Sus scrofa: one gene and its partner. The protein of the gene in region 1 purifies or fractionates together with the protein of each later gene. This does not show direct contact. Links are inferred from orthologs where the notes say so. Each region holds a gene or a part of one and is shown in the gene's direction. Other genes may lie near its edges. The genes, in order: RETREG3 and REEP4.

Region 1 (3,807 bases):
CGTGCATATACAGATACACACAGGCTCTTTAAGAAATAAAAAAATAAGGATTATACTCTTAGCATCGTTCTGTGAATATGTCAAGTCATTAGGTCATGTGTTGAGAAGAGGTCATTTATAAGCAGCCCTTCGTCATCCTTACCCTTGTTTGATGAGTTGCTATGATGATAGCTAATAACATTTCTACATTGTAAAACCGAATAGGACTTTGTGTTAGACATGTATTAGGTGCCTTGTATTTTCTTGACTTTTTAGCAAGATCATCTATGATATTTTTTGTAAGTGATTATGTTGTTTCTAATAACCTGCAAATAATAGTGCAAGATTTGTTATTGTTAATATCAAATATAGATGAGGAAACTGAGGTTAAGGTAATTTATTCAGGGTCACACAATGAAGAGTGGCTGTTCAGAGATACAAACTCAAGTCAACCTAACTTTTTTTTTTTTTTTTTTTTTTTGTCTTTTTGCCATTTCTTGGGCTGCTGCCGTGGCATATGGAGGTTCCCAGGCTAGGGGTCTAATCAGAGCTGTAACCGCCAGCCTGTGCCACAGCCACAGCAATGCCAGATCCGAGCCGCGTCTGCAGCCTACACCACAGCTCATGGCAATGCCAGATCCTTAACCCACTGAGCAAGGCCAGGGTTCGAACCTGCAACCTCATGGTTCCTAGTCGGATTTGTTAACTACTGAGCCCCGACGAGAACTCCAAGTCAACCTAACTTTAAAAGTCATGCCGGAGTTCCCATGGTGGCACGGTGGAAATGAATCTAACTAGCATCTGTGAGGTTGTAGGTTCGATCCCTGGCCTTGCTCAGTGGGTTAACGATCCGGCGTTGCCATGAGCTGTGGTGTAGGTTGCAGACGCGGCTCAGATCCCATGTTGCTGTGGCTCTGGCGTAACCTGGGAACCTCCATATGCTGTGGGTGCAGCCCTGAAAAGACAAAAAAAAAAAGCATACAAAATACAAGCCCACATATATTCTTAGAGTCAATTGCTTGATCAAATTGCCATAAAAATTTCTAAATGCTTATTTTCTTTTCTCCTTTTTTTATTTTTTTGTCTTTTTAGGGCTGCACCCATGGCATGTGGAAGTTCACAGGCTAGGTATCGAATCAGAGCTGCAGCTGTAGGCCTGCACCACAGCAATGTGGGATCCGAGCAGTGTCTTCAACCTACACCACAGCTCATGGCAATGCTGGATCCTTGACCCACTGAGCGAGGCCAGCGATCAAACCCATATAAATGCTTACTTTCAATTTCTATACTTACTTCCCCACAGCCTGGTAAAATCACTGGTCTGCAGACCCTGTATAGGGCAATGCCCTAGAGGCTATTTTTTTCTTTTTAGGGCCACACCTGTGGCATATGGAAGTTCCCAGGCTAGGGGCTGAATCAGAGCTACAGATGCTGGCCTATGCCACAGCCACAGCAACACCAGATTCCAGCCGCCACTGCGACCTATACCACAGCTCACGGCAACACAGGATCCTTAACGCGTTGAGCAAGGCGAGGGATCCAACCTGCATCCTCATGGATACTAGTCGGCTTCTTACCCTGCTGAGCCACAATGGGAACTCCGATAGGGACTCTTTCAAAACATAACTGCTGTAACATCATCATACCCCCAAATTAATAATACTGTCCGAATATCTTCAGATGTACTGTCTTTCATATTTCCCAGGTTTTTTTTGTAAATATATCTTTTTTCTTTTTTTTTATTACTCAGTGAATTTATCACACCTGTAGTTGTACAATGAGTAAATATCTCTTTATGGTTGATTCCTTCAAATAAGAACTAGCTTTTCCTTGATTCTGTTAATGTAATACATTACAATTACTGATTTTGTATGTTGAACTACTTTTGATGCCCGGAATAAATCCCAGGAATAGGTCCTGGTGTATAATCCTTTTAATATGTTGCTGAATTTATCTGCTTTTTTTGGCCACACCTGTGGCATATGGAAGTTCCTAGGCCAGGGATCAGACCCACATCACAGCAGTGACAACTCTAGATCCTTAACCCACTAGGCCACCAAGAACTCCTGAATTCTTTTTGATGATATTTAATTGAGGATTTTTGCATCTATATGCATAATGCTTATTGGCCTATAGTTTTAAGTGTTTTTGTCTGGCTTTGGTATCAGAGTAATGCCTTCATTAAATGAACCAAGATGCATCTGTCTTCAATTTTTTGGAAGCGTTTATGAAGGGTTGGTGTTAATTCTGAAGAACTGGCTTTTAGATGTAGCCTCAGTGCTCACTTTCTATGTGACCTTGACAAGTCATTTTGCTCTTTTGAGCCTTGGTTCCTTCATCTGTAAAAGGGTATCTAATTGAATTAGATGCTCTTTAATGCATCTCTGTCAAGTTTGTTGCCCTACACCAGGGTCTGTTTGGTAGAAACATGTTTGCTTTCATCATATCAACTTGTGTTCAAGAATGAACTTCTTGAAATTAATAGAATCAAAGACTTGAAAGTTGAAAGGCATTATTTGCTTTAGTCCTCTGCCTTTGTAGAAGCAAATTACTATCTCTACACCATAAGTAAAATAGCTGAAGTCCAGAAAGTTTGATTTTCCCAAGGTATGTAGCTAGCACTTAAGTCTGTTCACCACAGAACCATTAGTGCATGTGTGGTCTTTTCTGAAATTAGCTTAATTGGATAATGATCTGTTTTGCTTTCTCTTTAGGTTCTTTGCATTGACATCCCTTCGTCTTGTGTTTTTACTTGCATTCAGCTCCATGATCATTGTGTGTATAGATCAGTGGAAGAACAAAATCTGGCCTGAAATAAAAGGTGAGTTTGGGAGCTTTTAGAGCAATCTGAACTGAAAATGGCCTTTCTATAATTTTTACCTTTAGTTTTAGGGGTTTGTGGGAGAGCACACGAAAGTGGGAGTATCTTTTGAAGTCTGAATTATTTGCTTTAGCAGACACTTGATGGGCTAGTGCCCCATCTGTAGTTCCTTAGAGCTGAATTCCGCCGTTCCCATTGTTATTAAGCTCAGGAAATCTATGTCTACCACTTGAGATATTCCTGTGCTCATAATTGGCCTGCAGAATAAGTAGTCCTCAAGTTGTTAAAAAATAATTCTCCTCCCTGGATACTACATCATTACCAAGGTGGCATCAGTTTGCCTCTTAGGAATTTCTTTAAAGTTATTTATTTGCTGGAGTTCCTGTTGTGGCCTAGTGGGTTAAAAACCCGACATAGTGTCCATAAGGGTATGGGTTCGATCCCCGGCCTCACTCAGTGGGTTAAGCATCCAGCGTTGCTGCAAGCTGTAACATGTGTTGCAGATGCAGCTGGAATCCGGTTTGCTGTGGCTGTGACCTACAGCTCCTAGCCTGGGAACTTCCATATGTCGCAGGTGCGGCCATTAAAAGAAAAATATATAAAATAAAGTTGTCTATTTGCAAAGCACTAAGTTAGGCATTATGACTTATATAAAGTATTCTTAAGATATGTTCCTTTTCTCAAAGATGAAACATACATAAACATAAGAAAAATGATAGGAGTTCCCATTGTGGCTCAGTGGTAACGAACCCGACTAGTATCCATAAAGATGCGGGTTTGATCCCTGGCCTCGCTCAGGATCTGGTGTTGCCATGAGCTGTGGTGTAAGTCACAGACGCAACTCAGATCCTTCACTGCTGTGGCTGTGGTGTAGGCTGGCAGCTCTAGTTCCCATTTGACCCCTAGCCTGGGAACTTCCATATGCCGCAGGTGCAGCCCTAGGAAGAAAGAAAAGTTATAGAACAGCCTCAGAGATGTCACAGTGCAGTATGTAATCAGTATGTTTG
Region 2 (4,417 bases), on another chromosome or scaffold:
TATGAGCTGTGGTGTAGATGGAGAGAGTCGTGGCTCGGATCTGACGTTGCTGTGGCTGTGGTGTAGGCCAGTGGCTAGAGCTCTGATTCAACCCCTAGCCTGGGAACCTCCTAAAAAAGACGAAAAAAGGAGGGGAGGAATCTTTGTAAAGATCAAGTCTCTGCCCTCAAAAATGCACTACACCAGTGGTCGTTGATACTATTCCGTTCCCAGGGATATTTGTGCCCTTAACTCACAGAAACTGATGGAATTTCAAACTTCCGGAGAAGAAGACATGGGGGGCACTGGGCACTGGGGTCTCCACCCAGAATCTCTCCATTCCGCCAGCCCAGGGATGTGGGCCCTGGAAAGGTAACCCAGGGTGCAGTTCACCCCGGAAGCCCACTCTTCAGGGTGAGTGGGACGGGATGCTGAGTCTCTCGGGTTCCCTCTCCACCTGCTCCCGGTTTTCCCTCTCTGGCACCTCAGCATCTTTGAGGCACTTACCCACCTCCTGACCTAGCGCTCTAAAACCAGATTTGCTGGCTCTCTGCCAAACCTCCCTCCCACTTGTGCCTGAGCCTCTAAAGGGGGACCTCCACACATCTCAGGCCCATTTTACAGAGGGGAAAAACGAGGCAAAAGTAGGGGGCTAGTGAAGAGCCACGAAAACTCTGGACTCCAAGTTTCCTTCATTTCTTTCTGTTTCACCTTTTCGTTGCCGCTTCCCACCCCCAAATCTTTCCCAGTCCGAGGGCTGCTCAACCTCCAGCCCCATCTGCGAGTCCGAGGCGCATCGCCACTTTAAGGGCCAGGCACCTCGCCTCCCGACCTCGTCCCGCCCCCTCCGGGGCCGCACTGCGCCTGCGCCCAGCGCTGGAGACCTGGGGTTGGGCAGAGCCCAGTTCCGTGCAACTTTCAAGTGAGTTGCAAACCCCGCCCCGAGGCCGGTGCCGGTGTCCTGACCGCGGGGACCTGCACGAGCCCAGGCTGCGACCAGCCGCCCCCGGCCCGGAAGCCGCAGCGCCCCAGCAAGGGCCGAACGCCTGGTTCCCCGCGGCAGGAAGTGCAGGTCGGAGCGGTAACTGCGGGAACGGCGAGGCCGGGCGGAAGAGCACGTCGGCCGGTACTGGTTCCCAAGTCGGTTCCTGCCTGTCCCGGCCCTCTGGTCTCCCAATTCTTCAGGCTTCCCGCACTGCGGAGTTAGTGGGCAGCAGGGCTCTGCCTCCGTCCAGGGGCAGCCCGAGTGCCCCTGTGGTTCGCACACCTTCACTCTTAATCTCATTCCAGCGCTGGCGTGAGCGTCCGTCTGGGGGTCTTCCCGGAGAGATCTCCCTTCGTTCTTGATTGAAGCTGCAGGATGGTGTCCTGGATGATCTGTCGTCTGGTGGTGTGAGTACCGCCCCTCTCATACTCCCTCTGTCCCTGGTGCCAGCCCGCCCGCCCCTTGGGTGAAAGCTGGCAATGTCTGGCGGGAAAGGGGGCTTGCTGAGCTCCCTCACACCTCTCCCCTCCCCTCAGCACTCACCGAAAGGGTTAACGGATCTGCGGGGCTGCTTGTCCCCCAACCCTCAAGCCTACTTGGCTGATGGCGACCCTTTGCATTCACACACTCGCTGCAGCCAGGTGCATGGGACAGAGGACCACAGGCCAGCCAGGGGCCCCCTGGCAAACACAAGATGTTGTGGCACCTTTGCGGGTGGAGAATCCAGGTGCTTGCTTCCCATCTGAGCAGTCAGTCACGTGACTCACCACGCTGGCCTCAGCCTGCCCACTCTGTCCTACTCATCACCTTTCAGTACTCTAGCACCTGGCTCAGCTATCCCTGTCTGCAGCCTGCCAGTGCCAGGTCTGGTGGCCCTGGGCTTGATTGCACATCCATGGGAGGGAACAGCCTGCCACCCTCACTGCTCAGAAGCCTGCCTCCCACCCATCCTGTGGAGTAGCTGTGTGCACTCTCACTGCATCACGCACCCATGGATGGGCCGTTCCTGCAGGCCTGGGCAGGCTTGGGATGTTTGTAAACAGCGGGTGGGGAGGCGGCCTCCAGGGCACTGACTCAGGTGCAGGTTGTGCAAGCCAAGCGGGAAGAACAAGGCAGGCTCTGCAGTCTTGAACCCAGGGGGGAGTGGCCACCTGGCAGCAGGGTGGGGAGTGCTGCCCCTCACATGCCTTTTCTGCTTTGGGGGCTGCTCTTCAGGCTGGTGTTTGGGATGCTGTACCCAGCGTATGCTTCCTACAAGGCTGTGAAGACTAAGAACATTCGTGAATATGTGAGTGTGGGAGTGGGCAAGAGGGCTTGGCTCAGGTGCGGGGACAGCAGCCGTAGGGGGTGTGGTGGGATTTGGTGAAGTGGGAGGGGTCTGAGCTGGTCTCCAGCTCAGAGGCCTATAATCTGGTGGCATATCCTGGAACAGAGTGGGTGTAGATGGAGGGTGGGCTATTGGGGTTCCTTGCAGAATCTTGTGGGTGAAGCCTGTTGGGGGTGGGTACAGGAATGAGTGGCAGTTTCTCAGAGGTAACTCTCTAAGGGCAGCCAGGTGCCAGGGGAATGCCGTGGGACAGGCTTTCTGGAATCTCCGGGCCGGGTCAGCCTGGGACAGGGGAGTTGGCACTGCAGGCTCAGCTGCCGGCTTCTGACCTCTCTGCCATCTCCCCCACCCTGCCCCCAGGTCCGGTGGATGATGTACTGGATCGTCTTTGCGCTCTTCATGGCGGTGGAGACCTTCACAGACATCTTTGTTTCCTGGTATGGAGGCAGGGGTTAGGTGGGCTGTGGGGAGGAGCCGCCTTCCCTGGCCTGGCTCCCCGGCTGGCCTCACCCCCTTTGCTCTGACAGGTTCCCTTTCTACTACGAGATCAAGATGGCCTTCGTGCTGTGGCTGCTTTCCCCCTACACCAAGGGGGCCAGCCTGCTTTACCGCAAGTTCGTCCACCCATCCTTGTCTCGCCATGAGAAGGTACCCTGGAGGGAGGCAGGATGGGCAGCATGGGGGCGGGTGTGAAGGAAAGAGCCCTGGCCTCAGGGTTCAAGACATTACTGGGCTGTAGTCCCAGTCCTGCTGCTGTTTAGCTGTGGGACCTTGACATGGTCCCATGTCTAGGACTTTTAGCCTTTTTCCTCTTCTGGGATTAGCAGACGGGGGCACACGTGAATGACCTTTTGAGGGTGTGAAACACCAGCTGGGGGTGGTTTGGGGATGGTGGATTTGGTGGCGGGGGGGGGGACCTGGGGCAGGGCCGTGCACTGAGGTGCATGAGCCAGTAGGTGGGTAGGGAGTCCTGTGCTCTGCAAGTTGCAGGGCTGGGAGGCATGCTGCCTGCTGGCTTCTCAGGGTCTCAGGCTGTCAGCCTGACGTCCCTTCCCCCATGGCCATAGGAGATCGACACCTACATCGTGCAGGCCAAGGAGCGCAGCTACGAGACAGTGCTCAGCTTTGGGAAGCGAGGCCTCAACATTGCCGCTTCAGCCGCCGTACAGGCTGCCACCAAGGTGCCCTGGGCCCCAGCCCTCCAGCAGCCCCTCTCCCACCCCCAGCACCTTTTGGGTGATCCAGCCCTCTGTCGGGGAGCCAAGAGATAGCAGCTGTCTGTGCCCAGGGAACAGGGGCAAGAGGTGACAGGTGGGGTGTTGGCAGGAGCACGGAGCTGGACGTTCACACTCCTGGCTCTGACGCTGACCATGAGCTCCTGCTCTCTGGGCCCTAGCTTTGCACAAAGGCACGGGGCTAGAAGCTTGCTGAGGTGCTTTCAGTTCTGAGGCCTGTGCCCTGGGAATGACTTGCAGGTCAGCCTTGATTTCCCTGGGCTGCTGCCCAGGCCGAGGCCCCTTCCTTCCTGGAGCCCTGCCCACTCCTTCCAGGGGTTAGAGCAGTGCCCCCTCCCTTGCAGAGTCAGGGTGCGCTGGCCGGAAGGCTGCGGAGCTTCTCCATGCAGGACCTGCGCTCCATCCCCGACGACTCCACCCCCGTCTACCAGGATCCCCTCTACCTGGAGGACCAGGTACCCCGCCGCAGGCCACCCATTGGTGAGTAGGCACGGGAACCCAGAGCTGTCCCAAGAGGGTGGCTTCCTCCAGGCCTGCTGTGGCTTCTCCCCAGCACTAGAGGGGGGCCTGGCCCGGCCCTAGGTCTTCAGACTGTGTCATTGCCCAGCTTTGCCTCTCAGCCTCCTTCTCCTCCACATAGGGTACCGGGCAGGGGGCCTACAGGACAGTGACACCGAGGAGGAGTGTTGGTCAGATACAGAAGCAGTCCCCCAGCCGCCAGCCCGGCCCCGAGAGAAGCCTCTGGGCCGCAGTCAGAGCCTGCGTTTGGCCAAGAGAAAGCCGCTCACGCGGGAGGTTAGTGGTGAGGCGGGCACGTGGGAGGTGGCGAGGCTGCCCTGGCTGCCCGCTTCAGCTGGACCTTTAACCTCTCACGGGGTGCTGCTCTCTCCC

What was found.
Region 2: the proteins of RETREG3 (region 1) and REEP4 purify together in Homo sapiens (affinity purification with mass spectrometry; 3 studies listed by BioGRID and IntAct, with this or other methods). This does not show direct contact. The link is inferred for Sus scrofa from reciprocal best matches to the Homo sapiens genes RETREG3 and REEP4.

What each region holds. Positions count from the first base shown.
Region 1 is NC_010454.4:20,230,821-20,234,627, forward strand, and holds part of RETREG3 (protein FAM134C), read left to right. Parts: intron 1-2,693; coding exon 2,694-2,800; intron 2,801-3,807. UniProt on the Homo sapiens protein: Endoplasmic reticulum (ER)-anchored autophagy regulator which exists in an inactive state under basal conditions but is activated following cellular stress.
Region 2 is NC_010456.5:6,412,010-6,416,426, reverse strand, and holds the start of REEP4 (receptor expression-enhancing protein 4), read left to right. Parts: upstream 1-1,384; 5' UTR 1,385-1,567; coding exon 1,568-1,605; intron 1,606-2,179; coding exon 2,180-2,252; intron 2,253-2,651; coding exon 2,652-2,728; intron 2,729-2,818; coding exon 2,819-2,939; intron 2,940-3,358; coding exon 3,359-3,472; intron 3,473-3,870; coding exon 3,871-4,006; intron 4,007-4,166; coding exon 4,167-4,321; intron 4,322-4,417. UniProt on the Homo sapiens protein: Microtubule-binding protein required to ensure proper cell division and nuclear envelope reassembly by sequestering the endoplasmic reticulum away from chromosomes during mitosis.